Rattus norvegicus: one gene and its partner. The protein of the gene in region 1 interacts with the protein of each later gene in a pairwise test. Links are inferred from orthologs where the notes say so. Each region holds a gene or a part of one and is shown in the gene's direction. Other genes may lie near its edges. The genes, in order: Pex16 and Pex3.

Region 1 (15,164 bases):
AGTGATTCTAAACCTACCAAGCCGACAATGAAGATGGAACCATCACAATTACCAGTAGGGCCAGGAGCATGTGAGGCCTCAGGACAGGGTGAAGGAAGACTTCACAGTGCCCATACCACAGACTCTTCTGAGGCTTACCACACCTTTCCGTGAAACTTTGCTGACACTGGCATGAGTGTGGTTGGCAACAGCGGGAGCTTGGCTCCACACTGATTAAAGAAAGGGAAAGAGGAGCTGGAGAGATGGCTCAGTGGTTAAGAGCACTGGCTGGTTTTCCAGAGGTCCCGTGTTCAATTCCCAGCAACCACATGGTGGCTCACAACTATCTGTAATGGGATCTGATGCCCTCTTCTGGTGTGTCTGAAGACAGCTACAGTGTCCTCACATACATAAAGAAAAGGAAAAAGAAAAAGAAAGGGAAAGAAGTGGAGGTATGTTGTGACTTCCTGGTGAGTGTGCTGCTTAAAATGGCCCTGCTCTGGCTAAGACCACAGCAGCATTTCAGTCATGACACAGCAGGCACTTTAAAAATTAACTTAGATTTGATTTTTAAAAACAAAGTCTTACTCTAGCCCAGGCTAACCTGGAACTCACTACATGGGAGAGGCTGCCTTTGAACTTGCAACCATCCTCTTGACTGACTCCAGAGTGCTGGAATTACTTACAGGGATGTGGCGCTAAGTCCAGCTTTTTATTTTAAATTTTATTTCATTGTGTGAATATGAGTTTGGCCTGCATGTCTTTATGTATAATCACATTTGTGCCTGCAGAGATCATAAGAAGGCACTGAATGCCCTAAAACTGGAATTATGGAGGGTTGCAGGCCACCAATATGGGTCCTCTGCAAAAACGAGTGCTCTTTTATTCCAAGTCATCTCTCTAGCATCATGCCCAGCTTTTAAAGATTACTGAATGAGCATTTCTTAACCCCTGGCCCATCTCTCCAGCTCCCTTATGAGAATTTTTATTAGTGTATGCTAATTGTACAAAACAATGTGCTTCGCCTCTTGTGCTGGCACATGCCTTATAATCCCGGCACTTGGGAGGCAGACTTAGGGCAGATCTCTATGTATTGTACCAGCCAGGGATACACCGTGAGATCCTGTCTTAAAACAAGCAAACCAAAATAATGGGTTTCATATGACATTCTCGTACATGCATGTAATATACTGGAGGGGCGTAATTGGACATATTCTGCCCTTGTCTGAAGATAATATCTACAGGGTATTAAATAAATGTATTACAATTCTTTGTATACCATATATTCGCGGGGGGAGTCCGCAATGGCGCAGACTTGCCAAGCCCCCTCTTCCCACAGCCAATCAACTGCCTCCCAGGAGCGATTCCCTCCCTCCTCTTCTGCAGCACCTGGACTCTAGGCAGCCTTGTAGCTCTGTTCAGGAATGGATCCTTAGGAGTTACCACCAACCCTTGGGGCACAGCTGAGAGCCTGGAAGTGCATCCAAGGGCCAGAAAATGCTGGGATTCGTTCCGAGTTCAAGGTCCAAGTCGGGCCCAAATAATTTGTAGATGAAACCCGAGGTGCAGATCAGGAAAGCTAATGCGCAGGGTCACCCCTAAATGGAGAGCAAAGGGATAGGCAGGGTATTCTCCGCGTAGGTTGTCATCGGGTACGGGTTTTGGGGGTCCACATGTTCTGAAGAAGCTGGAGCCGAAACCATTGTCCTAAATCTGCTGGCTAGGTTTGCCTGTTTCCCGGGCACCGGTTTTTGGAGACTGACGGCTGCTGAGACCCATTTACAACAGTTTCGAGGTTCCCTGTGCCTTAAACCCCAAGCTCTTTGCTTCCCGAACCTCCCGTTCGAGCTCTCGGCGATCTGCTGACAAAGTCTGAGGCTTCGTACGCCCTTCTCTAGTATGAACTGTTTAGGCTGCCGTCAAGCTGTAACTGCGCAGGCGCCAAGACAGCCAACCAAGAAGGCTGAAGATTGGGTGCCGGAGGCTCTAGGGAGCTTCAGGGCGGAGAGTGAAGGAGCCAATGGCTGGAAGGAGGGAGGGTGGGAGCTCACAGTCGCGGGGAGGAGGCGCTAGAGATGGGGTGAAGGGGCGTTCAAGGGTTCCGCGCGTCTAAGTAGTCCTGGGCTGCGGAAGTTGAGCAACTTGGAGGCGGGCCTAGGGCCGGAAGCAGGAAGGAGGGCTCAGGACGCAGGGCGCCGCTGCCAGCAGTGCTGTCGGCCGGTGGGACTTGTCGGTGGCCAGAGCAGGATGGAGAAGCTGCGGCTTCTGGGCCTACGCTACCAGGAGTACGTGACTCGTCATCCAGCCGCCACGGCCCAGCTGGAGACGGCTGTGCGGGGCCTCAGTTACCTGCTGGCAGGTACCACACTGACCTTTGACCCATTTCTTCGGGTCCCTGACCATGAACCCTATGGCCCTTTTCCTGCTGACCCATGGTAGTGGTCACAGTGCTTGACTTCTGTCCAGGTTCCTGTGGCGTATAGGACACTAGGAAACCCAAAGCTGCAGGGTAAAAGAAACGCCTCACCAACGCCTTCTATACCTTCTTCCCTAGGTCGCTTCTCCGATTCCCACGAGCTGTCTGAGTTGGGTGAGTTGAACTCTGGGCTGGGGAGAGAGAAGGCTTCCAGAGGAACCCTGGCTGTAGGTCCTGAGCTTCCCTCTAGATCAGCTGTCCACTGTCCAGTACACTTGGTGTTTCCAGAGTTAGGAGACATGTGAGGACTTTGACTGGCTATTCGCAACTAGTTTTGCTCAGGATTAAGCAACTTTCCTGACCTTGCTAGTCATCAGTCCTCTAAGTATAAGAGAGGTTCTGTTGTTCTGTTAAGGGAATGAAAGTTCAGTGAGGCTGGAGAAAAGTCCTTGCTGTCAGGGCCAATATTCAAATGTCACAACCTCCATGCCATTTAAGTCCTCAGCAGTGTTTGTTTAGTGGGATAGTGAAGCTTGTGAAAGGATGAGGCAGGTTTTGAAAGGGAGGTGTGATGTAGCCCTTCAGGGGGACCATCTGCAGAGAGCAAAGGTGGGGGTGGTGGGGCCACGCACTTGGCTGTTTGGAACATGACAGGCAGTTCTGAGCAGCTCAGTAACCGGTGCTGTCCAGCAGAGCAAGGGCTGGCTTGTCACTCTAATCAGCTCATTTCTTATTGGCTCAGATGTCATCTTGGAGAGAATGGGGCTCTGAGGAGGTGGGAGGAGAGGCTTGTTGGTTTCCACACAGTCTGTGGGTAGCTGTGATTGGTAGAGTTCTGGGGTAAAGGTGAGAGGGGTGAAGGCCACAACAGAGCCAGCCTCTTAAGACCACGTTCTGCTTCTCAGTGTACTCTGCCTCTAACCTGCTTGTGCTGCTCAATGACGGGATCCTTCGGAAGGAGCTTCGAAAAAAGTTGCCTGTGGTGAGAATTTTACCAGGAGCTGAGGGTGGGGAGCTCAGGGACTTGGGAAGAAAACAGTAATGACCAGCATGTGTGGCCATGTTGTAGTCTCAGCGTGTGAGGCACGTCCACGTGAGCCTCAGACCAATTGTCTCACGCATGAAGTTTTAGAGAGCTAGAAAGGCCTGTCCCAGGCCAGCCAGCCTGGTAGCAGTGGAATTGAACTCAGGTGTTAGAACTCAGTGGAATTGAATTCAGGTTTAGAAAGGGGGACGTCCCCACCTGCTGGAGCAGCCCTCTTTCTCTAGGACAGCACTTGGGGCCAGAGAAGCTCCCTGACCTCTGGGCTTCTTGCAGTCGCTGTCCCAGCAGAAGTTGCTGACATGGCTGAGTGTACTGGAATGTGTGGAGGTGTTCATGGAGATGGGGGCTGCCAAGGTGTGGGGCGAAGTAGGCCGTTGGCTCGTCATTGCTCTCATCCAGCTGGCCAAGTAGGTTGGGTTGTGGAGGGCAGGATTCTGGTGGGGTGACCCAGTCCAGCAATGAGGGTGCTCAGCAGAGCAGCCTTGCTGCCGGCCTTCTAGCCACTTTCCCCTAACTGCGCCATAATCCCCCAATTAGGGCAGTCCTGCGCATGTTCTTGCTGATCTGGTTCAAGACTGGCATTCAGACATCACCCCCCATTGTGCCACTGGACAGGGAGACCCAGGCACAGCCCTTGGGTAAGCTGCTTCTCTACCCGGAGTGGAGTGGGAGGTGGGGCTTCTCTGTAGTTCTGGAGCACACTTCCTGTCAGCTCAGCACTCATTTATTCCATAAGGAAGACAAAGACAAGATTTGAGGAAAATTAGAACTTAAACTTGGGGGGTTATGTTTGAGATCCTGGCGCTCAAACCCAGTGTCTTGTACATGTGAGGCAAGTGCTCTACCACTGAGCTACACTCCCGTCCCTGCACTTGGGACTTGTTCAAGATCCTCCTTCTCTGTTGTGGGCTGCAGGAACTAGGGATAGAGCATCAGCACAAGGTAGGCGTCCTGCCAAAATGTTTGGTCCTGGTTCTGTGTCCTGAACCGTAGCCTCAAGAGGCAGGGCCAGGGCGCCTGGCTGCTTTGGGCCCCTCCGTCAGCCTCAGTCTTTCCCCTTACCTTGAACAGGGACAGTGATGTGCCTCCCACATTGAAAGAATATGGCTTCATGGTCCCATAGCCCTGATAGATGTTGATGGGATAGGCCCTCCTCTCCTTCCTCCAGTATCTTGGAAGCCTAGGCTCTTGGTTGACTTACTGTGAGAGATGGTGGCCTCTTCTGGGCCAGGGTCAGTTCCCGAGGGCTTCCATCATGTCTTGCCGATCAGTCTCTGGGTGTGATTTCCTTGTTCAGCCACTGCCTGAGGACAGGCTCTTGTGTTCTCTGAGTAGCTCCTTGAGCATTCACTGCATACAGGTTCTCTACAGGCTCTGTTAGGAATGTATCCCTCTTATGTTATGTCCTGTCTACACCTGCTAGATGGCGACCACAATCTGGGCAGCCCGGAACCGTCATATGTGGGAAAACGGTCAAACAGAGTGGTGCGAACCCTCCAGAACAGTAAGTGGAAGATGTAGCTGGACTGGGCACCTAGGTGCTGAGGTCAGTGTGAGCCTGAGGGACTGGCTTCTGTCATCACCCACTTTGGCTCCTGGCTCACTTGCCTTGTCTTTATGTTCTAGGCCCATCCCTGCACTCGAGGCACTGGGGAGCCCCCCAGCAGCGGGAAATTCGGCAGAAACAACAGCAGGAGGAACTGAGCACACCCCCAACACCTCTGGGACTGCAGGAGACCATTGCAGAGTCTTTGTATATCGCCCGGCCCCTGCTGCACTGTATCCTTAGCTGTGCTGGAGGCGGGCTGGGGAGGAGCTGAGCTGGACCCTGCACTGGAGACATCCTTGACATCTTGACCGTCAGTGCTCAGCCTGGGCTTATGGGGTCAGCGATCGTGGGCACCCTGGCTCCTGTCTGGTGTGGTGGATATGACTAGGTGAGAATGGGTGAGGAGGTGGAGTTCCGTGGGGCTTTCTGCTTGCTGTGCAGCTATCCTAGCCTGTGACTTTTTCCTTCTCAGGGTCATAGGTCATCCTTGTCCCTATGTCCCTTCCCCTACAGCCTGAGTCTCCTGAGCGACAGGAAGAACTTGACCCGGAGGGAGCGGCTGGAACTGAGGCGCCGCACAATCCTGCTGCTGTACTACCTATTGCGCTCACCGTTCTATGACCGCTTCTCTGAGTAAGGACTGTTGTGTGGAGAGGGTTGGCGTCTGCTGAATACCTGCTGGTTTTGGTGCTGTCCAGGAAGCAGCCTCCAGAGCCACCTGACCTACCCTCAAAGGAGACAGGCCAGTGTGAGCTTGCATACTTGGTGTGGAGAGACTACTGACGGTGTGGTACAAGGTCCACAAGGCACAGCTCATGCAGACCACCCCTCTCTAGTTCTTTTCACTATAGGTTATCCACTTCTCAGAGCAGGCGCTATGCTCCAAAGGGGCTAGGCAACCGAACAGGCCCCAGCTAGGCTGTTACTGCTGGGCCCACCCCACATTGTTCACCTGTGAGGATCAGAGGCCCTGCATTAGCCAGAGAATCTCTCAAAAAGGCCTGGCAGGACACCTATGATGTAAGGTGGAGTGTTGGAGCAGGGGCTGGGCTCATGTTCTCACCTGTAAACAGTGTCAGTGATGGCGCCCATCTCATAGGCCGTGTAGGGTGAGGTAACTGAATGTGTTTGCCCATGCTTGATACATAATGAATGAATGTGATGAATCTTAGGTCTTTCTCCCAGTACTTCTGGGAATCAAACCTAAGGCCTCATACTAAGCAAGTGTTCTCCCCCTGAACCACATCTGCCACCCACACGTGTTCTTCCAATGTTCCCACCTCAAGTTCTCCTGTGGGAAGTCCCATATCTTAAACAAGCCTCTCTTTGAGGCAGAGAGGACCTTTCTCAGCCTTGTCCTCTTCCCAGAACCCTGACTACTCTGATCATTGGTTTGTGGGGTCTCTATGTAGCCTAGCCCTTCTACCAGCTTCCTTCCCTCTAGAAACTGCCAGGGCACAGACCTTACTATGAGGTGATCCTTAGGAAGCACTGTTGTTGAGAACCAATAGTAGGAAGGTGAAGAGGGGTGGGAGTAGAGGACAGTAGTGTGAGTGATGCCTGCAGCTGACAGCTGACCGCTATGAACATTGGGTGTAGCTGTGGACAGGTGGAGTGCTGGGGTCCAGCCCAGTCCCTTGTTTTCTGAAATGCCTGCTGGTCAGTAAAGGTCTTTAGCCCCTGGTGAGCAGGGAGCCAGCCCACCCCTCAGCATGCTGTTTCTTTTCTCCAATCAGAGCCAAGATCCTCTTCCTGCTTCAGCTGCTTGCAGACCACATCCCTGGCATTGGCCTGGTGGCAAGTAAGTGTGGATAGGACAACGTGGTTGTGAGATGTCCCTGAGACACAGAGGGCCTCATTTTAATGTTTGCTCTGTCTTTTTTTGGTTTGATTATTGGGCAGTCAAGAGTGAACCCTAAATCAGTACTGGGAGCTCTAGGGCCTAAGGTGGCCCATGGAGGTGGGGATGTGGCCAGAACAGTGTTTGTGTGTAGGATTACTAGGCCACATCAGGTTGGCAAGCCTCCTCCTGCTTCTGGAACCTGAATATTTGGAGGCAGCCTTATCTGGTAAGGCAAGGAGGGGCCTTGGGGCCTATCTGGGTACCCGACCATAAAGGAGGACATGCCCCTTGCTCCCTGGAAACCTGGATTCTTATGTGTAATTAGTCTCCAGCATCAGAGGCAGGAGATGCAGCAGGTGGTACACCTGTGAGCTGCTCTGCTGGTGGCAGTGTAAGAAAAGGGCACAGGGCATGCCAGGGGCCTGACTCAGTCTAACTCCCCTTCCCTCCATTGCAGGGCCACTCATGGACTACCTGCCCTCCTGGCAGAAAATATATTTCTACAGTTGGGGCTGACAGGCACGCAGGAGCTGGTCCAGAGTGGGCCACGTGGTGTGCTCTGTTGCTCTGAGCAGGGCCTTTCTCAGCCCTCCAATTCCCCCCCAGGCCCCTCTTCTCTAATAAAAGTGACTCTGGTAGTATCCAGCACGCGGCTCTGTGTCCATCAGCCACACCTCTCCTGGCAGCTCTGCTCCTCAGTCCCAGTGACCACAGCTGTTCATCTGCACTCTCCTGGGATGGAGCCATTGCATTCTGCTCCTTGTCACTGGGCAGGAGGCCTCCATCAGGTCCAGGGGGCAGCTGTGACTTAGCCTTCTCCAGCATGGGTCACCATTTGCCTCAGCTGCCTGACAAGATGCTTCTTTCTCATTGGTCCCTGGTGAAGACAGGCTGAACTAGGCCACGGATTTCCATAGTCTAGCATTCCTTGTAGCTAGTGCCTCAATGTATCCTTTCCCCTCAGGGCTGAATAGCAAGCCCTAGGAGAAGCTCTTCTCTATGGCAGGAGATAGAGTGTGAACCTGAGTCTGTAAGAAAATGGGCAGTTTCTGGGGGGTGTGCTGGAGTTCCCCTCCCTGACACTCCTACAGGCTGACCAGCTGATGAAGACTGAGAATGCTGGAGGCTACTTGGAGAAGACAGGAGGGCCTGGCAGAACTGTGGCCTGAACTTTTCTGTTCTCAGTACGTGCCTTTCCTCTCTTCTTCTGCCTTCCCTTTCTTTCAGACAAGACATTCAAGGGCCTCAAACTCAATGGCAGTCTCATTGTGGGACCATAGGGCTACCTCATTCCTGTCCTTTTGTTGTGTGGACTATTCCCAGCATTGGTGCCACTTGACTTTGGAGAGCACTGTCTGCCCCTGTCCCTCAGGTCTCCCCTCCTCCAAGATACCCTCATGGTCCCAGCCTTAACCTGTCATGCTTGCCACAAGATGCGGAGAGTCACAGACCCCTGCTGTGAGCCAGGGCAGTAGAAAAGACAGCTAGCTTGTCGTCGGGTTTGTCAGCTTGGAACTTGTGACCCTTCTGCTTAGCCCGACAAGCATCCTCTGGGTGCTTGCACTGTAGTGGGCTTTGGTGCCATGCAACGCATAGTTCCTGCCCTGTAGGTGCTGACTACCAGAGGACATTTGTGTACATGCTCTGCTGGGATCTTGGAGAGGGCAGCAGTGTCAGGCAGCACAGTGGCAAGTGCCCCCTGCAGTGATAGCAAAGGAGAGCAAATCTCCTTTCCCATCAGGCTGTGAAACAGACACCAGTCGTCTTGTTCTGGAGCTGGATGGGGACTCAGCCACCAACTTACATTCTAGCCCACAGCCATCAGTGTTGTCAGTAGCCTGGCAGGACGGCCACTGTGGAATCTTGGTGGAAGTGCTGTGGTATAAGGGTCTAGGCAGGTCCCAGCAAAGGTCTGCAGGGTTTGTCATATGATTGGTGTGGTGGGCAGTGGGGAGAGCAGCTGTTGAGCGATCTTCAGCACTTCGTGGTGATTGGGTTGGTGGGCAGACATGAAAGTGAGCAGGGGCTCTGACGTTAGGCATGACAGGGGAGAGGCTCAACCAAGGCACTGGGACAGGAGACAGATAACCCCAGCAGACCACAGGGACTCCATGTGGGTTTGGTGGCGTCCAGGGGTCGAGTGATGGACAGGGCTTTGGAGTTGGATAGTATGGAATTCCAGGTCCCGGGAACAGAAAGGAGGTATGTCCTGGCAGGGACATGTAGGACAGGGGTCCTCTCTAGGACACAAAAGGGAGGTAGTGCGGGTGTTGAACCCTGGAATTAATGTCCTTTGTGAGGTGGCCCTGAGAATTGGCACCAGGTTCTGTCCAGTTGGGGGAGGGGCAGGTAGCCAGCACAGCAGGGACTGTGTAGGAGATGGTTCTCGCCATGCTTGGGGTTCTGTACCCCAGGGCTGGGCTCAGTCTCTTTCTATTTTACCTCATCCTGGCAGGCGCACTCCTTCGACCTCAGCCCCAGAGGTAAGGCCACAGCCTTAGGGCCTCGAAGACTCTGGAAGAGGCTGATCACTATCCTGGGAAGGGTTAGTTCATGAAGTCTTCACCCCGGACTGTCCCTCATAAAGAAGTGGTGATGGCTTTTGGGGTTAGGGCTCAGCACAGCAATATTTTCCATAGGTCTCAGCGATCTGTTCCTGAGGAATTTTCAGCTCCGCTGGAACTGTTGCAGCCTCTCTCAGGCCTGGTGGATGGTAGGGTAGTAATTCTCTCCCCTCCCCCACCCTCCACAGCAGGTGTCCCTAGATGTCCCCTAGGGCCAAGCCCTATGTCTCCCTCTCCCAGACGGCCTCTTGAGAGTTGGCTACAGCCCCATTCCAAGTCAAGCAGTGTTTCCACCCTCATCCTCTTCTTTCTTCAGACTACGGGCTAAGACCCAAGCACCCGAGGCCAGGTGGGCCCAGACCCCTTCTCTCCCAGGCCCAGCAGCGCAAGCGGGACGGGCCCGACATGGCTGACTATTACTATGATGTGAACCCCGCATAAAGCTATTCTGGGCAGCAAGTGCTTGGCTCCATAGCCTATGTGCAGTAAGAAGGCCCAGCAGGGGTCCGAGTAAACACACCCACTCTGGTCCAGACAAGAAATGGCACTTTAATAGTAGTAGCCAGGTGACAAGACAGTGACCAGTTGGCTGGGGCCAGCTGAGAGGGAACCTTCCCTGGCAGGCAGGGCTTGCTGTGGCCCTCTCCTTCTTTGAACACACAAGCTTGCCAGGGTCAGCGTGCTGGCCAGGCTGGAGGTCGGAGCTGCCGGAGGCCCCACAGATGAGAACAGGGTCCTCACTGTCACATGTTGCCATTTCCTTACTGGAAAGTCCTTCGGAGGTGCTTGGGCTCAGCATGAGCTCAGGGCTCTGGGTGAGGTGGACAAGGGAAGGTGACACTTCCAGGTGGCATGGGCTTTGTCAAGGCAGGACCCAAGAGCCAGAAAGCCAGGGCCTCTAGTATGAAACAAGGCCCAGGATGGTGCAGCGCCTCTGTCCCTAGGGGATCCCTTTGTGGCCAGATGCCTGACCCCCACCCCAGCCCTGCCCTTCCCCAGCCCCGAGAGAGCCTGTACTGTCCTCCATAGATTAATCTAACCCCATATATTACAATAAACTGCATCTGCCTCTCCCCAAACCCCTGCCCCCCAACCCCAACAGCCCTCACTCCCCCATTCTCTCGTGGCAGTACAACATCCTGTCAGCAGTCAGCTGTCCTAGTACTGGCCTGGGGCTGAGGGGCTGCAGAGAGGGGGGTTGCTGCTACTCCAAGTAGATATCTTCTGTAGGACAGGTATATTCCACAAATTGCTTGTAGAACTGCTGAAATGCACGCCTGGAAAATGGGGGACACAGGAGTGACCAGGAGCCTCAACCCAGGTTCTTCAAGAGGAGCTTTGGGTCTCTGGTACAGACTAGCTGTCCGTGGGCAGTTATTTCCCAAAGAGAAGGGGAGCAGTGGCCAATCAACAAGGAAGTAGCCCAGAACCTCGGCTTCCCAGGACCTCCCAGCCTCTGCCCGGATTGGGGTTTCCAGAACTAGAGGGAAGGGGTGATGCTGACACTGAGCACAGATAGGACAGCACACTTACACACACACTTACACACACACACGTACCCCACAGACTCTGCCAGGGCTTTGGTGGAATCTTCAGACACAAAGACATGGCAGGCAAACCGGTGGTCAGCAGGGTGCTTAGTGATAAACCCAAAGTACCTGTGGAAGGCAGGCATCTGTGAGACAAGATTCGGAGTCCTACCCACCCACCGTGTCTGAAGACTACCAGTGAGACTCTCGTGTCTGCCCCTTGTACTCACTTGTTGTTCTTTGGATGGTACCCACAGAAAGAGATGTTTTTTAGCTGGAAAAAGTGGCTACATTTATTTCCCTACAGGAGTGAAGAGAGAAGCAAGATGGTCAGCTTGCAGGGGGAAGCAGGCAGGAGGGGCAAATGCAGTGTGGGGGAGGGTAGGCACACAAGGAGAGGAGAGACACGTCAGGCAAGAAATAAAGGGGAGGAGACATGCATGGGGCAAGAAGGCAGGGGCTTGAAGGAAGTCACCTTGGCCTCCTGAGCTTCATCAGCTTTGACACCTATCTTGACACCCCTAACGCTGATTTCAAGGACACAGCTGGAGGGCGGGTTAAAGTGCACGGTGAGCCGGCGGGTGGTGGCGATCTGCATGAGGGACAGGGTCAAGTTGGGAGCTGTCCCACTGTCACAGCACTGCCTCCAGGTCCACAGTAGTGTGGGCTGGCTGAGAATAGGCACCCCCAGGAAGAAACAGGGACCCAGATGTTGGTACCTTTTGCATAGCAGCACAGAGGACATCATTGCCCTTGTGATAAGGAACCTGGACAGAGCCCAGGAACTTCACCCGGAACTGGTCAATCCAGTCGCTGTTTTTGGCAAGGGCTGGAAAGCAAGCATACAATAAGCAAGAGAGCCATCAGCAAGGGGCTCAGAGCCGAGACAAGGAGAAGGCAGCGTGGAGAGTGACCGAGGCAACAGAGACTCACTTGGCTGGGCCTCACTAACTTTAATGGAATCACCTCTACTCTCTCTCTCTCTCTCTCTCTCTCTGGCTAGCTAAGACCTGTGGTAAGTTGGTGGGCAGAGGCAGGGGTGGGAAGGCCAGAGTGGGGGAGAGCACTACCTGCCATGTGCTCAGGCTCCTTGGTGACCTCAATGGCATAGTAGGCAGGAAAGACACCACGGGCTCCAGTGCGCATGTTATAGGCCTCATACCAATAGTCTTCTGCCTGCAGCTCCACCAGCAGAGGGTCGTCCACTTCCAGCTCAAGTTCATCTTCATGCCGAGGCACAAACCTGTCCCAAAGGCGTGTGAGGCACGGCTCATCTGGGGCCCAATCTGGGGTCCTAAGCCACTGACATTTGCAAATTACCCAGGTACCTGTCACGGTGCTGCCTCCTAAGGAACACATGATACATGTGTCTGCTATCCAAAAATTTAGGCTTCCCAGAAGCCTAAAGCCTTGGGAAACTTGAATGAAAGTGAGCACCTTGCCTAGGGCACAGGTTCTATGCGGGGCAGGCATCTCTCTGGCCCCCAGGTGTACAGCCCTAGCTTCTTCATGACACTTCGGTCCTTGCCACTAAGCGGAGTTCCTGTACGGGGATATGGTCTCCAGCAGCTGAGGGGATGCCAGTGATGAGCTGGCAGAGGCAAGGAGGCAGGCAGCCCTCACCTGAATATAGCCCGATGGGTTTGCTCATGCTCCTCCCCATTGATGACACAGGAGAACAGCCCAAAGGACTCGGCACCTGTAGGAAGGCAATAGGTTGGAGGAGGTGTCCTAAGCTTGGAGCAGGTAGAAAGCTCTGTCCTGCTCTCAGGCAGACTACATGGTCTCTGAGGCCCATTCGGGTTCCCACACTGCTCCCCATCCACTGACTCACTGGAGGAACGAGAGCGGCCACTCATGAAGACATTCAGAAACTTCTTAGAGAAGTGGACGTCAGGCTCATCCGGTGTGGAGTCCTCTGACAGGCAGGTGGGAGGCCGGGGTTGAGGGGCCTCCTCATATTCCTCACCAATGGCTGACTCGTAGGGCGAGGAGGCAGAGGCACAGTTGTCATAGACAGTGGCAGAGTCGCTTTCGTCACTGTAATCTCCAAAACATGGCCGCAGGCTCACCAACTCAAGCTGGGCATGCTCATCCACCACCAGTGTGTACTTGACAGAGTCGTAGGACAGTGCGCTGGTGTCCGAGCTCAGTGAGGCCCGTGGAGGCGGTGGTGGCTCCCCGAGGCTTCCCCGCCACCCTCCACCTGGTGGCTCAGCTTGCTCTGGGGATGACAGACAGTCGAAGCCCTCATCCTCTTCACTGATGGAAGGGTGCGGTCGCCCTGCAGTTACAGAGTAAGCGGCAGGGTCAGGATCCGAGCTGACAGACATCCGGCTCTCAGTGGGTGGCAAGAAGGTGGAGGTGGGTTCTGCAGGGTCTGGGGGCCTCTGCACTGGGGTCAGGTAGATCTCCTCAGTCGCCTCGAGCCGCACATCTGCCTGATAGTGGATTCGATCTCGATGGGAGTGGCCCCGGCCACCAGGTGCAGTGGCAGGGGGACCACTTGGAGGTGCCATCTGGGTGGCTGCAGTACGGCGACAAGGGCTGTCGGTGGAAGTGCCACGATCCTGGGTGGGAACAGGACTGCCCTGGGGCGGCAGCTCATCACTCAGGCAGATATGTTCATGTGGAGGCGTCTGCTCCCCTAGAAGACAGACAGGCAGGTTGGTGCTGAGGGCAGAACCCCAGTCCAGATACCTGTCCCCTCCTCTTCCCAATTGTCCTCCGCCAGCAGGATCTGCAGCCAGCCACCGGCTCCCAGATGACCTCAGCCCAGGTGAGCCAGGTGAAGACTACAGGGTCCCCAGCTTGGGGAGAGAGAGGCCTGACTTACCTGTCTTCAGAGGGGAGGATGATCGAGACACACGGTCCTGCCAACTGTGCTTTTTGCCTAAAGAGTTATTATTCAGCGTGTCCTGTGCAGAGAACAAAAGGCTCTTATGAAGAAGCAGTAGTCAGCAGTGCCCGGCACAGGGAGGCCCCGGTCCTGCCCCCATCAGGCCATCCCTGGGCTGTTCCCACGCCATCTTGCTTTGCCAAAGCCTCTCTGCCAACCACCCTCCAGCAGGCAGGAAGGGTGGGAAGTTAGCACCCTCCCTACAGGCCTGCTGGCTGGGAGACAACCCTCAAGAGATGCAGAGGTGCTGGCCAGTGTGGGTGCTGAGGAGCAGATGCTGGAGGGAGAGCCCAGCTCCCAGGAGAACCACACAGCAGCCCAGGCACTGAGGGGAGCCATGATCCCATGCTCAAACCCAGCCCTGGTGAAAGACAGGGTGATTGACTCCCTGTCCTGGAGCTCAGAAAGCTGGGGTCTAGCAAAGTGGAAAGGACATTCTGGCACAAGGAAGGGTCTCCCCAGGAGCTGCCTGTGGGCCTGGATGAATCATTCAAACCATGACTCCATAACACTCACCCCCACTTTGAACCATGTGACTGAGAAATGACAGATGTAGTATCCGCAGCCCTCCTTCCTGGATCTCCCAGAATGCTCATTGCATCCTACGTTCTCAGCCTCCTGAGACCCTCAACAGTGCCCATGCACAAGGCTCTCCACACACAACTTGGGCTCCCTCCCCAGGAAATGCCATAAGCAACACACACCATTGATGAGCTGGGCTGCCAGAAGCCATGCCAAGAGGATACTGGGAAAGGGACCAACCCCTTCCTTGCAGCCCCTGCACCATCCATTAGCAGCCCTACCTCCTCAGCGCCTTCCCTCCCAGTATCTCTCCTGCCTAGGCCTACAAGACAATGGGTCGACGGAGCCCTCTTTGGCATCCAGCCACCAGCAAGGGGCCCTAGGCCCCCAACTCAGCCAAGCAACTCCACCCCCACCCCAACTCTATTGCTGCCTTCTGGAATGTCCAGCTGCTGAGATGTCCAACTGGAGACAGACCCAGAATTCCCATCCCCACCTTCATCCCATTTCGGAGGCTCTTTTCTCCAGGCCTTGCTGCTGCCTCAACCTTCACAGAAGCACTAACCCGAAGAGGACCTAACTGCAGGACCTCAACTCCTTTGTTAGTCCTCTGCAACTCTCCCCACTCAAATCCCTAGCAGTGCAGGCTCCATACCCAGACAGTTGGATTCAGTCCTTCCCAGGACAGACTTTCCTGTTCCTTGTCAAGTCCTTCCTCTATCCCTCCCAGCAGAAAACCTGTCCCACCCCAGGCATGGCGCGCCTAGGTACCCGGCGTCACCAACAGCCCCGCGCCCCTCCGTCTTCCCTGTCCACGC
Region 2 (14,369 bases), on another chromosome or scaffold:
ACAAAAGTCCTTTTGTTTCGCTCAAGTGTTAAAAGAAAACATAATGAAATTCCAAAGATGTAACCCTTTGTTAGCTTTTGGTTAAGGTCACAAATGCAGAAATGGCAAGTTTATCTACTACGATCTTATAGTTTCCTTTAACTTTTCTGAAAATTTGATACCTAAAACAAAACAAAAGTCATTGCATCATTGTTCCAATCAGGGAAAAAAATAATAATTTACAAAGGAAGAGAAAAGATCTAGGGCTGGAGAGATGGTTTCTTAAGTAAGGTGCTTTCAGGGGAAGAGAACGGGAATCTAGACTCTCCAAAACCCATGAGACTACCCAAACACAGCCATATATTCCATAGACAACCCCAGTGCAGAACACAGGAAAAGCAGGGATCCCTAGGGTTTGCTAGCAGCTAGCTGAGCTGAACTGATGAGCTCCCGGTGCAGGGAGGGACACTGCCTCACGATACCAGGTGGAAAGTGATAGAGGAAGACATCTTGACCTCAACCTGCATCCTTCATGCACACGCACTAGCGTTCGCACACACACTACAAACACACACATATGGGAGGGGGACAGCAGGAACTGTTCCACAGCCTACACACACACACACACACACACACACACACACACACACACACACTAAGCGGGAGGCGGGGCAGGGAACTGCCCCAGAGGACACATTGGCTCTTGTCTTGCCAACTGGCCCCACCGTGGCCATAGTATGCTTCTGTGTTCTCAGTGCTCCACTCACGTTTTTTGTTTGATTCACTTCATTTCTTCCCTTCCCCACAACTTCATTGTTATAGACCATGAGGCAGCCGACAGGAACTTCAATATTCTCGAGTGCTTCTTTGGCCTGAAACACAAAGTGGAAAAGCTGAGAGGTGCCGCTCAGCGCTCAGAAGGCTGTGGATAAAAACAGACGCAGTGGGAACCGAGGGGTGGACAATGACCTGGGCAAACAGACACAGCTGTGCTTTCCCCGTCTCAACGCTGGTGTCTTTGGACTGTGATGTGCTGTGTTCTCTGCTGGGTGTCTGTGTTAAGGAGAACTCAGGGATGTCTCCCTTCCCAGGTCCTGCGCCTCATTTTCTCTCACCGAAAGTCTGAGTAATCAATGGCTTTTGACCAGTGTTCCTAAAATACCAAGGCCGCCCCTTCTCAGAGATGATACCCATATTTGCAAAGAGGTGGGAGAATATATAACATGTGTAAATATTTGGCTATAATACTTTGCCTTGATAAACTTCTACTTGATTAATTCTTTTAAGCTTCTCTAAGATTGTAGATATGATCCCATAGAGTATCAATACCATAAAAATGATCAGACTGGATGTCACTCTTTCCCACAACTTTTATTCTAAGAGACACATGGAAATTTAGGGATATTTTATGTAACGATGACACCAACTTGGAAAATACATTGGAAGTTTTTAAAAAAATAAATATTCACAAAAATCTATGATCCATGTTGCACGCACGCATACACACACACACACACACACACATACACACACACACACACACACACACACACACACACACACATACACACACACACACACACACACACACACACACACACACACACACACACTAAGCTGATGAGACTTTAATAAGTTCTTCAGAGTCTTCCAATGAGATTTCCCTGGTTCTGATAGTGAAGCAACAGTTAGACAAGGTGTGACACTGAAGAACATTGAATGCCTGGGCCCTCTCTGTGCACACTTTTTGCAGTTTCCTGTGGCTTACAATTATGTAAAAGGGAAAAGTCAGTAACTGAGCTAAAGAAGGATGTAGCAAGCCTACTGATGAAGAGTCAGGCAGATCTGTTGACTGTGTAGAAGACCCTAGGAAAATGCAGGCCAAAAAGAAAGGCGGTGTCAGTGGTGTCAAGGCCGAGACAGAGGAATTTCAGGTGGAGCGGCGGAAATGAAAAGCAATGGCTTGAAGAAATGACTTCCCAGGGCTCAGATTTTCAGTGTTCCACTGTACCTCCCAACAGAACTCTTAAGAGGTAATGCCATGTCTACATCTCAAGATGCATAGGTTGAAAATCTAACTAGCTGTGTGTGTGTGTGTGTGTGTGTGTGTGTGTGTGTGTGTGTGTGTGTGTGTGTGTGTATGCACGCATGTGCATGGTTTGGTCTGGGACTATTTTGAGCATTTTGTAACTATAAATTCCTTTCGTGTATAATCCGAATGTGATAGGGGCACTGAGCATCATTGGATAAGGAAACCAAAGCAGGGAGGTCAAATAACTTAGCCATCTAAGACATCTGGAATAAAAGTCATTACTCCATTAATAGTTGGAACAACTATTAGTGTCAGGTGCTGGGTTCTTTGCATCGCTCTCTCTCTCCGAAGCCTCTTTAGTAACCCGTTCGGCTTCACTGACTAGACCCTTCATCAGAGTTTTGGTTCGGAGGAGAGGGAGTAGTAAGAGGGAGGGATGCGCGATAAGGCTTCTGGTGAGCCTGCATCCTGGACCACTGAATGCGATGTCAGGAGATACAATGCCAAGAGCAGCTCCGAACATACAGAAGAGAATCAAAGACTGGGCCAGCAAGATGGCTCAGCAGGGCTTGCTGTGAAGGCGTGAGGATGAGTCCCATCCCCAGAACCCACAGTGGAAGGAGAAAAATATCTCTCCTCCCAAAAGTTGTTCTGTAGTCCTCAGACACATGCGAGCACACACACAGATGCACCCTCTCCACACATACACATGCACAAATAATAACTTATTTTAAAACTCCCCAACATGGTAGGAAGCACATAGGTAGGGAATGCCTAAAGCATTATCCACAGTGCATCCGACATGCTCCAGAACACTGCTTGTCTTGGCAGCCTTTCTCTGCTCCCAGGTCAACAGAGTACTGGGCTTCTTGGTACCTAGTGCCTCTGGGTCCTCTCTTTTTTTTTTTCCTTCCAGCAAAATTTATCTCACTAGAAGTGACAGGATTACCTTAAAGAGACATAGAACATAATTGATAAGGCACGACTTGTAGGCCAGGATGCTAGGGAGTAGCTGAGCAAATGGAGTGGCAGTTGAGAGAAAGTGACGCCCAAAGAAAGCGGTCTGTGGAGGTCGATTTAGAGGAATTGCTTCCCAGTACACATACACATACAAATGTGCATGCATTTCCTCTACTGACAAGTTCAAAACTCGAAGCTGAAAACCCACATCCAATCTCAGATTTTCCAATGCCCCTCCCAACTCTTCCAGTTAGTCCCTTTCTCTTGTCACAAATGCAAAAGAGCTGGGTCAAAATAGGTCTAACTGGGTACATGGCTTTGAACTTAAGAAGCTAGCCTTCTTTGGAAGAGGTCAAAGCTCTTCCACTGAAATGGAAATGGCGACTTGGTCTTCCTTAAACCAACAAATTCTCAACTCAAGAACAGAAGAATAAAGGCTCTCTTCCTCCCACCCCAGGCTCTGAGAAAAATGACCAAAAAAAAAAAAAAGGTTAATTAAAAAAAAAGAATGAATTATGCTATTTTGGGGGAGGGGGCGGAGAGCATGTTTCTGTTTTCACAGGGACAGAAATATATGAAGGGTGCTTACAAAATATCAGCAGGGCTATCTCTGAGGTCAGGGCTTTTAAGTAACTTTTACATAATTTGTTAAATGTTCTAGACTTTAATTTCTTATCAATGTGAACTTCCGTAACCATTAGAAGGAAACGTTGAAAATTTCAATTTTGTAAACGAATAAGCAAAAATAACATCCCTACATCAAAGGCTGAGCTTAGTTTTTAAGGCCTTCACAATGATGTAAACAAATTCCATGATGTTCACAGAATGAAAACCCAGCATCAGAAAGACTGTGCATACATACATATATATCCTTGCCGCACATCAATATGGGTAATAAGCTTGGAAAAACATGTAAATACGACCAGGGCCCTCCATAATGAGCAATCCTAAAGGGATTGCGGGAAGGAAATACAAGGGCAGAGAAAAGTACTATAGAAAGCGTAAATACATCATCGGTGAGGATTATACTGGGGTATGTTTTGATATGACCCTCTTCCAGAAACATCAGCTTCCTTCCATTATATATGTTCAAGGGCGTCGGGAGCAAGCCATAAAATAATGTGGAAAATATGTGTCCACATGGAAAGGAAGGTAGGCATTTGGGTAGTACGTATCCCCAGGCAGCAGCTAAGGCTCCCTGTAATACATACTACACATCAATCAAACAGTCTCTGTAATTTCCCTCAACTCCAATTACTATGAGACAAAGCTAAAGAAAATTCCTCTAGAATAAAACAAGCTGTTGCTTCAGGTATTTTGAGAGCCCATATATAATGGTGATGAGAAAGCGCGCCAGGCACATTTGCTCAAACTACTCTGGTCAGGATGTGGCCGGGAGAAAGTTTGCACTCTCGGCATCCACCTGCCGGGTTCCTCACCATTCGCATCGCCTCCTCCATCCACTTTTCGGTCTCCTGTACGGACACCACGCACGAGCCGTCTGGAACAGTGGTGGACTCCACTTTCTCTTCCATATCGCCTTCTCTCAGAGACTCCGGGCCAAGGGACTGGAGGAAAGAGGACAGCGGAACGCGGCGGGCGCGGGCCCTTGCTTCCGGGAAGACGGAAAAGGGCGAGGCACCCGGGAGCTATTTGCGGACGGACCCAGGTCCGGATCAGTAAGCCGGGGCTAGGGGACCGTAAGCGTTGCTGCTCCGCTGTAGTCCACGCCCCCTTCCTCCGCTCTGGCTACAGCCTCTGCGCAAAGAAACGTTTGGGGTTTCTGAAGAGCACCTAGCGCCGCCACCTCGCTTCTGCCAGAGATCCGGGCCAGATTGACGGAAGACACGGTTTCCTGGTGAGCCAGTCCCTCTCCCCTAGGCAACCCACACAACCCGGGGTCTGAAGATGCTGAGATCAATGTGGAATTTTCTGAAACGTCACAAAAAGAAATGCATCTTCCTGGGCACAGTCCTTGGAGGTGAGTGACAACACGGTTTTAGAAGGGGCCATTGGCAGAAAGGAGTGACAGGTGACATAAAACAGACAGGGCCCCCTGATAGTAGTTCTGGATTTGTCGAAGGGATTGGCCCAACTGTCAAAAAGTTCTTTTATCTTCCCTCTCTGTGCCCTTTACCCCTCATTCTGACCCTGTCCTTTTTCCCTCACGGGCCTTCAGGAATCTACCCCCAATGAAGTTTATTTTCAAAGCACTATTCTCGTATAGATACATTGCCTTCCAATTCTCTTCTTTGCCTTCCTGATAGATTTTTCTTTCTGTTTGTCAACTCTGCTTTCAACCTTTCACACGAGTTTCGAAATATTCTAGGGCAATTAGCTTAAGTCTGCTCTTTGATGCGGTGTTTAAAGGTACATTAAAAACAGCATGTTGCTGTAAGGTATACAGTAGATAGTCTCCATTCCCAAATTTTAAAATACAAAGTATGTATCAACACAATGCTTGACTGGGTTATTCTGCAGTGTTGCCAGGACTGGCAAGGTTGTGGTCATTGTCTTTTTGGTGATACAGTTGAGTTCACTGGCTGAGAGGAAAGTTAGAAACACCTAGGATAAAATATCATGATGCTGGAATTGTAACATTGTGGTAGAGCACTTGCCTAGGCTGACTGCGTTGGATCCCAGGGAACTAGCAGCACACACACACACACACACACACACACACACACTGCTTTAAACCCTTTGTCTTGGTAAGACAACCCTCAGTTCATAATTAAAGGTCTTTAAAGAAGGGAATCTTTTGAACAACACAAAAAGGAAGTTTAAAAAAATTAAGTTTTAAGAAATGTTATCACTATATATATATGTGTGTGTGTATGTATATATATATATCTTAAATTATATCATAAAGTGACTTAAAATATTAGATCATTAATAAGGCAATGACCATGTTCTGCATATCTTTAAGGTATAGCACAAATGGCTAATAGTTAATAATCACCCTTAGGAAATATTCTATAGATAAAATATGTTTTATATTACCTCTATTCTCTAATAAATTGTACCCATATTGTAGAATACATATGTTGAAGATAAAGTCGTATGTGTCATGGAAGACATATTAAGAAAAATTTTTGCTCTACCTAAGTAAAGAAAATTGTCCCTAGCAATTTCAGAGAAGAGAGCCTAACCCTTATGGTTTATGAAGCAGTTAATGACAGATCAGAAATAGTCATAGGAGAAATTAAAGAGTATGTGGTTAAGTAATAAGTTTTTTTTGAAACTCTATTGAGAGCTTTATAATTGGAGATTAAGAGGAAGGGAAAAAACTGGGAGTGGTGGCACACACCCTCAATCCCAGCATTTGTAGGCAGAGGCAGGCAGCTCTCTGAGTGGAGGTGTGGTCTATACAGTGAGTTCCAGAATACCCAGAGCTTCATAATGAGACCCTGTCTCAAAAAACAGAAATAGGTAAACAGAAAACAAAACACAACAACAACAAAAGGGAGGGGGAAAGATTCAGAGGTGTAGTGGAAACACTGTTGGTTTTTAGCAAAATAGAAAGTTTTGAAATAGCTGAACTTAACCTTTTTTTGTACAGAGTTCATATTTTTCTGTATTTTGAGGAAATTCCTATCCTACATTTTAAGAAATATTTATTAAGTGATTATACTGCTGGGGACAGTATGATTGAATAGGTATAATATATGTATTTTTAATCATATATTTATTAGAGACTCACTGAATGTTGAACAGCATACTAAGTTCTTTCCAACTTCTGGAAATGACAGCAGGATACTTATTATTTGGCCATATTTTAAATGTAGAAACTAGAGTTCCCACACCCTAAGAAACTTGCTAAGAGTTTGAGTTACTAATAAGGAAATAAGAATTCAATCCCAAGTGTGTTAGATCCCAACACATATTATCATTCATTACTCTACTACTCTGCCTTAGCAGATTGTTTAATGTTTAAAGAATGAAGAGATAAGTAAAATACTGTTTACAGACCACGGTAGAGTTGAATACAGAGCCCAGTAGTATGCAGCAACCTGGAGTTACTTAAAATGAGGCAGATTTCATAAGAGGAGTGACACATTTTGGAAGCTGATTAAAGTGTTATTATGCATGATCAAAAGAGATATTTAGTGCTGGAAAAACACAGCAAGGCAGAACTTTGAGTTGTGTGGCTTCTAAAGTCAGAATTCCTTCTTCCCTACATTTCGGATGGTAATTGCTGCTTGTCCATTCACACAGTTAGACCGCTTGAGGCGGGAGAAGAACAGTGGTTCTCAAACTGTTTGATGGGAAATCTTTATACTATTAGAAATTAAGAGCACCCCCCCCAACAGCCTCCTGAATTCTATATCTACTTGAGAATTTAAGGTTAAAACCAAAGGTATTAGCTCATTTAAGGTAACAACAATAAGCCTATTAAATATTAATATGAAACATTTTTGGAAATTAGTGAGAAGAATGGCATTATTTTACAATTGCAAAGGTCTTTAGTTTGGCTTAACTGAAGAAAGCTAAATTCTCATCCCTTCTGTAGTCATGTATGATGCCTCCCATTAAATAGCTACTAAAATCCTCCAGTGAACACTCAGGATGCCAGTCCCAACATCTCAGTATGACACAAATATTTGTGGACCTCACGGATCCCTAAACTGACCCCAGGGATGCCAGGACCATACTTTGAAAACCACTGGATAAGCGAAAGTGTCACAGAACAGAGGAACTGGATTCCCACTTAATATCTGGTGATTTTTTAAAAGCACAGAACATGGAGTTATATCTTAAGCCTTGGAATTTTTAACCTCTTTAGGGATTTTTTTTTTTTTGTCATTTATCGACTTTCCGTTTGAACAAGAATAAGGCCTACTCTAACTCTACTGGGCTATAGTCTGGAGAGCATACATGGAAATAAAGTAATCCACACTGTGAATGCCTTCCTTACTATGCCATTGTGTGTAATGCGGGCAGGATCTGTGTGCACTTGCTTCTCAGTCTTTGCTATGGATGAAAACCATTTAAAGTGCTTCAGAAAAATATAGACTCCTTCCTTCAGATTCTATTTCTTCAGGTGTAGAGTATAGTTCAGGAACGCCTCAATGCTGAAATGGAGATGTCACCAAATGGACAAGTTCACTACTCAGCACTGAAAAAAGATTGAAATAGAATGCAAACATTAGAAATTGGGAATCTGCTTGATTGGAAGCAATGTTGATGGATTATTTTCAAATTGTTATTGAAAGTAGTTGTGCTATAGGAACTTTTCTCCTGGAAGACAAAACTAAGAGATGGTTTTAAAACAAATGATTTATACAAAGATATTTTGCTTAACTGGCCATGAAAGGAAACATCAAAACATTTTCGCTTTTTTTTTTTTTTGGTATTTAGTAGATATTTTAATTGCTAATAATGAAGATTATTGTAGCTATACTACAGAGGAAATTTACAGCTATTTGATTTTACACATGAAAAAGATGTCTATGCAGAGGAGTAAGCTGCCTGCTCCAAGTCACCTCACCAGCTGGCTGGTTCACGTCACATTGCCAGTGAAGCGGAGGCAGTCTTAAGTCTGTCTTAGCTAATGGCAGTTTTCTTTCTTTCATTAGTGTTTCCTAGAGAAACATTAGAAGAAGTCAGTTTGTGATTTTTATATATGAGATCCTAAGTGAACTAGACCTTGACTCGAAATATCAGTGCTAACTCAAGAAAAACAGTTTGTCTAGGACTTAAGCCCAATTTCATGTGTGACTTTTCTAGGGCTTCCATAATGAAACCTACCAAGTGAGAAACTTACAAAACTAAAATTCATCTTATACTTTTGAAGTTAATAGTCCTGATCAAGGTGTCTGTGGGTTTGTTCCTTCCGTCCTGTGAAAGGGATCCTACTAGGCTGTGCCATGTGGTGGCCATCTTGTTTCACACTGGCTTCTGCAACTGAATACTGACTGCTGGAAAGCCACAGAGAACTTCCAGAAGCCTTCAAATTGTCTTTCCTTTGTACATATCTCTGTCTACCTTTTACCTTCCTCTCAGGACTGGCCGTGTGGGATTGAGGCCCACTGATCTCACTTTGTATTGACCTTTTGTTCTCAGGTTCAGTATATCAGCCTGTGGCACGGGACAGCAGTGCACACAATTAAGCCCATTCTAGCTTTAGCTAGAATATACTGCACTTACCAAGTAAAGAGTGTCACATCAACGATTCATTTTGCAACATAACTTGAGAGATAATAATCACTGTGTGTGTAACCTTCAGTAATATGTTATGGAGATAAGGTACAAGCAGTATGTTCAGAACTAGGTGAACCAGAATTGCCTGTTGGAGGGTCACTTTGCTAAATTTAAGTCAGTTTCTTCATTCTCTTGGGATCTTTGTGGTGAGGGAAGGGGAATAGGTTCTCACAGTATATCCCAGGTTCCCCTCAAAATGGTAAAAAGCCCTCCTGCCTCAACTGGACTTATGGGCATGAGCCCCATATGCCTCTCTTATTCTAATGGCTGTGCTGCTGTGATGTTACAGAAAAGACAGCCAATGAACAGCATTTATTGATTTCTCTTTGCTCTTGGAGCTTAATTATAATGCATGTATTTGTATGTGTAGTAACAACAACCATACTATTCCTATTCAGCACACAATTTTATGGAACCATCTAAAGATACATAACATCTTAAATCATCCACAACATCTGATTTAGTGAAAATAATTTAGGATATATTTGCTTTGCAGCTCCTGATGTCTACCTTGTCCTTGCTTGTGAGAAACAGACCTAATCCAACTATGTTAGGCATAATTCTTGAGGCCTTTTAGGAGATAGTATAAGCCCCAGACAGAGGAGATAAATGAATGATGGTTAGCCCTCTGAGCCCTTGCTGCTAGGATTTATAATGAAATCAAGCTCTGGCACACATTGATACTTATTAGCAAACAAAAATGAAACAATAACACAGCCTCTTCTATAAGCTTGTTGAATTCTGACCTTTGGCACTATGACAAAATCATGTACCCAAAACAAAGGCAACTCTGTCATTGCTGTAACTTGTTGGATTTGGAGGACTTTTCTGGGTTCCAGGTTAAGCCATCCCTGAGGAAAAAGGCCTTGCGTCCATGTTTATAGAAATGGTACTAAAATGTTTCAGCTCATCAAGTTCTTAAACGCTTACTGAAATAGTCCGTGAATCCACTTCTGCTATCCATTGTACTGTTTAGTAAACCCTCTGATGCCAATCCGAGATAGTTAGTTAAAACAAGCCATCTTGTGTGGGGGACTGCCTGAGGAAAGTAGTGGAGCACAGGAGTGGAGAGAAGTGAGAGTGGGGAGCAGGGCAGTGGTGACTGTGATCTCAGTGCGCTGTTACATGTGTGGAACTGACCAAAATAAAGGAGATTCGACTGCCGCTGCATCCTCACCACGTTTAACACTGAATGCTCATCAGATTCCCAGTTAAGAAAACCAATGGCCACTCACCCAGTAGATGACAAAAATGCACCCCCTTACATCCTGTGCTGAAGACCACACAACCCTGCCATATTTTACACCGTTGTGTTACGGTGCTGTCTTCCTGTTTCCTTTGTCATTTGAATTAGTAGTTTGTAGACAGCGTAAGTTATATTTTCTTATTTTCTCAGATGTTTTTCTAATACAGGGGTGGATAAATGCATGTCTTCCTGACGATATACCCTTCTCTCATTCCTTTAAATCTTTTACTGTAGAGATTTTTAAAGTTATGTGGCCATTGACGACAACATGGAAAATATAGAAAAGCAAACACAATCGCAATTATCACAGTTTATCTTACTTTAGAAATTAAGTATGTACTTTTCTGTGTATCTGTTCCATTAAAACACAGACTTCCTGGATGTTATTTTATCACCTAATAGTATGAGGTAGATCTTTCCTCGACTCATTAACTATTTAGCAATGTGGTTTTTAATAACTACATAAGATACCATTATGTGAACAGATCATAATTTATTTAAATAACCCTCCGTTGCTGAATGTTTAGAATATTTTCAATTAACTATTAAAGATGCTGCCAGACTTTATAAATCCAATGCCTTTCTGCTTCTTGTCTGTTAATGTCTTCTTTTTTTACTAGCTATATTAAAATATATTATATGCATGTAAAATAAATAAATAAATATATAAGTAAACACTGTATCTCCTTTCCCTTTTCAGTTCTTTAATAAAAGTCTTTTAGAAACTGTATTTTCAGCTTGTCCCTAGTATCAACCTCATGATTTAATCAAAAGTGCTTAAAATATTGGTTAGAATTTTTAGTACTCCAGTTAATATACTACTTTGTTTTGTTTTGTTTTGTTTTTTAAATGACTTTTAGGAGTCTATATCCTGGGAAAATATGGACAGAAAAAACTTAGAGAAATACAAGAAAGAGAAGCTGCAGAGTACATTGCCCAAGCTCGGCGACAGTACCATTTTGAAAGTAACCAGAGGACTTGCAATATGACAGGTAAGCAGACGCATATATGTATCTATGTTAAAGTGCTTGTTGGTTTGTATTAATTCATAGCCTCAGGCTCCAGTGTATGGGAAAGATGAGGAACGTGTGATAAACCTACCCAATAGTCCTGTTAACAGAGATATGTAATTTCCACGTGAATTTTTAAAGCCGTATAAATACTCACTTATGCATTCATTCAGCAGATATTCACAGTGCCTGCCCCTGAGTGAGTAGGCAGTAAACAGAGTAAGATCCCCTGAGCTCCAGCAGGTTCTAGTGGAAAGACAGCAAACAGCACAAAGGTAACCTTAGGCTGCAGTGGACCCAGTACAGAAAGGAAAGCTGGGAGGAGTGGACACCTCTGCAGAGTGTGGTCGGGGGCTCGTGCCTCTGACCAGATGGCCTGTGCTGTAAAGTCTCATGGTACAATATGGAGAGAAAATGCCTGAGAGGAGAACATGCTAGAAACATTACAAGAACAGCACACAGGCACTGCAGCAAGGGAAAGCAGATGAGTGCTAGGAAGCAAAGCTGTGGAGAAAGGCCTGACCCACCCATGCGGCCTCGTAGGTCACAGCACAGAGCCCAAAGCCTATTAGGTCTCCAGCAGGACACTGTAGGACATAAGCATTCCGCGACAGTGTCTGCTCAATCACTTAATTAATGGTAATAATGTAACTACCAGAGCCAGAAACCTACTGGGAAAAGGCCACAATACAGTCAGTCTGCTCAGTTTGAAGAGAGTAAGGAGTTAGGTTCTAACTGGGGTGATGCCTGGAAAACCAGTTTCTCAAATCTACGTCAAGTCTGCTCCTTCTACTGTTTAAAGCCTGTTTTTTTCTCTCTGACATTTCTTTAAAGGCTACCTTAGAGGGAATTTACAAAGCTCAGTGTATCTCATTCCGCTCTACGAGTAGGCTTTTCTCTAGATCCGAGAGGACCTTATTGCTAGCTCACTTACCTCACGTTATAGAGGAAAAGCTAAGGTCAAAGAGAAGATAAGTTCACAGCTATATGCGAGTTTATTTTTGGGTTTATATAGGGTTCTGTGAAACCCTATTCAGAAGTACTGGCCATAATGACAGCGCATGCGCACAGCCAGGATGACTGGGGCTCTCGGGAGGCTGATACCACCAGATCAGTTTCCAGTTTAAGTTGTATAATCTGTGTTCTTTGGGCTAATCTGAACCTCAGCTCTTCCTGTAAAATGACCTTTATAAAACTTCCTTCAGAAATGTATTGTGAAGGACCCGGGATATAGCTCAGCTGGTGATGGTGCTTGCCTAGCACGCACAAAGCCCTGGAGTTTGATCCACGTCCTAGCACTTGGGACACTTAGGCAGGAGGACTGTTTGATGGCAGCAGGGCCATATAGCTAGTCCCTGTTTAAAGTAGAGAAGTAGTGTGTGAGAAGACAGTGAGATTCCCCACATAAGATGCTTGGCACATAGACACTCGGCGCGTGGACTTAAAAATCACCTTGAACATGCGGTGCTACTGAGGACATGTCAGTGAGTGGTGAGAGAGTGTGAAGTCTGCTTCAGATGATTGTGCAAGTTTTCACAAAATAGTAAAAGGTCACTTTTGGGATCTCAAAATACCTCTCACTTTGGCAAAACCCTGTGTCATATTGCGCCTCCCAGAATCAAATGGGAAGATGTACAAGCAATGCTTGGGGGAAATGCCTATGAAGAATAGTAGAGAGGGAGGAGGAACAGGAAAGAAGGTCTCTGACACTTGGGGAAGGAAGAAGTGGAGGTAAGAAATACCAGAGCCAGGCACAGTGGTCCATACTTTTAGCCCCAGAGACTAACAGAAGGCAGAGACAAACAGTTCTTTATGGGTTCAAGGCCAACCATGTTCCAATACAGCTATAGTGAGACTGTGTCTAAAAAATTAAAAGCCTGAAATGATTCTTCCCAGTCTAAGAAAGCTTGGTGAGTTACCAGGTCCAGTTCCCTGGTAGAGGAGTTCCCACAAGAGTACTCATGGGCTAAGAGATGTGAACACAGTAATGAATCTGCTGCTTCATTTCACTGCTCTTAGAAGGTGGAGCTGACGCATGTCGTGACCACCACAACCCTCAGCAGATACCAGACTGCAGACAATTAAAAATAGCATAGCATGAAGGTAAAATACAAGTTCTCTAAAAAGCTTGACAAACTAACTTCCTGGTATGCATTTACAAGAGGATGCAAATAATGTGATTAGCCCTCTGACTTAGAAATCTTTGATGGGCAGACCGTCGGCATGGAGGGCTTCAGTTTTCATCCAGGAGAGGTTAATGTCAGTTTATGAGGGAATGCTTCAGGGGTTTATCCTTTTCCTTTCTTGACTGAGAATTTACTGAAGACTGAGGAGAGAAGCTCATTACATTTACACATGGCCTGATGTTTATTTGTGTAACTGATATCACTAATAAAGTTTCAGAATACAAAATACATTTTGTTTTTTGGACTGTGATAGATGAATTTTTTTGTGTGATGAGTCAATTTTACAGATTCAGAATGATGCATAGTATTTAATGAACATTGGAAATTCAAACTGAAAATAAACTGTAATGAACAAACAGTACATTATGACTTCTAGAAATACTAACTTCAGTAATTGGACTGTAGTAATGAATTGTGTGGTTTGGGTAGAGGATCACAGTATACTATGTGGTAGTCAAGATAGTGCATCCCTGCCTCTTACTTGCTAAGAAGATTCTAGATTATGTCTTTAGAACGCTCTCCCAAAAAAGAACGGTAACAGTAGCTTAGGCTATTTCCATGAGTGAGTCAGTACTTTTGTAAATGTTGTAAGTACCTCAATCCCCACAGCAGTCCTACAGGACAGGCCCTGAGTTACCTTCAACTTACAGATGAGAAAACGGAAGTACAGGTTCCAGCCTACACAGCTTCTGCAATCTGTGTCTGGATCAGAAATGTTTAGCATAGTGGTGGAGAGATGGCTCAGAAGTTAAGAA

Evidence for each region.
Region 2: the proteins of Pex16 (region 1) and Pex3 interact in binary tests that used the Homo sapiens proteins (3 or more experiments, as listed by UniProt). The link is inferred for Rattus norvegicus from reciprocal best matches to the Homo sapiens genes PEX16 and PEX3.

The regions. Positions count from the first base shown.
Region 1 is NC_086021.1:98,800,615-98,815,778, forward strand, and holds Pex16 (peroxisomal biogenesis factor 16), read left to right. Parts: upstream 1-2,130; 5' UTR 2,131-2,226; coding exon 2,227-2,338; intron 2,339-2,533; coding exon 2,534-2,569; intron 2,570-3,300; coding exon 3,301-3,377; intron 3,378-3,713; coding exon 3,714-3,847; intron 3,848-3,977; coding exon 3,978-4,078; intron 4,079-4,863; coding exon 4,864-4,944; coding exon of another isoform or gene 4,945-4,961; exon of another isoform or gene 4,962-4,986; intron 4,987-5,066; coding exon 5,067-5,219; intron 5,220-5,304; coding exon 5,305-5,377; intron 5,378-5,461; coding exon of another isoform or gene 5,462-5,502; coding exon 5,503-5,622; intron 5,623-6,725; coding exon 6,726-6,790; intron 6,791-7,289; coding exon 7,290-7,348; 3' UTR 7,349-7,477; downstream 7,478-15,164. Other genes in the region: Frey1 (protein Frey 1), read left to right, coding at 9,212-9,315, 9,472-9,545, 9,713-9,837; Mapk8ip1 (C-Jun-amino-terminal kinase-interacting protein 1), read right to left, coding at 10,601-10,673, 10,956-11,054, 11,156-11,226, 11,401-11,517, 11,645-11,754, 11,996-12,168, 12,549-12,624, 12,760-13,572 and 1 more. UniProt on the Homo sapiens protein: Required for peroxisome membrane biogenesis. May play a role in early stages of peroxisome assembly. Can recruit other peroxisomal proteins, such as PEX3 and PMP34, to de novo peroxisomes derived from the endoplasmic reticulum (ER).
Region 2 is NC_086019.1:9,764,907-9,779,275, reverse strand, and holds the start of Pex3 (peroxisomal biogenesis factor 3), read left to right. Parts: upstream 1-4,796; 5' UTR 4,797-4,879; coding exon 4,880-4,952; intron 4,953-11,278; coding exon 11,279-11,410; intron 11,411-14,369. Other genes in the region: Adat2 (tRNA-specific adenosine deaminase 2), read right to left, coding at 747-851, 4,411-4,506. UniProt on the Homo sapiens protein: Involved in peroxisome biosynthesis and integrity. Assembles membrane vesicles before the matrix proteins are translocated. As a docking factor for PEX19, is necessary for the import of peroxisomal membrane proteins in the peroxisomes.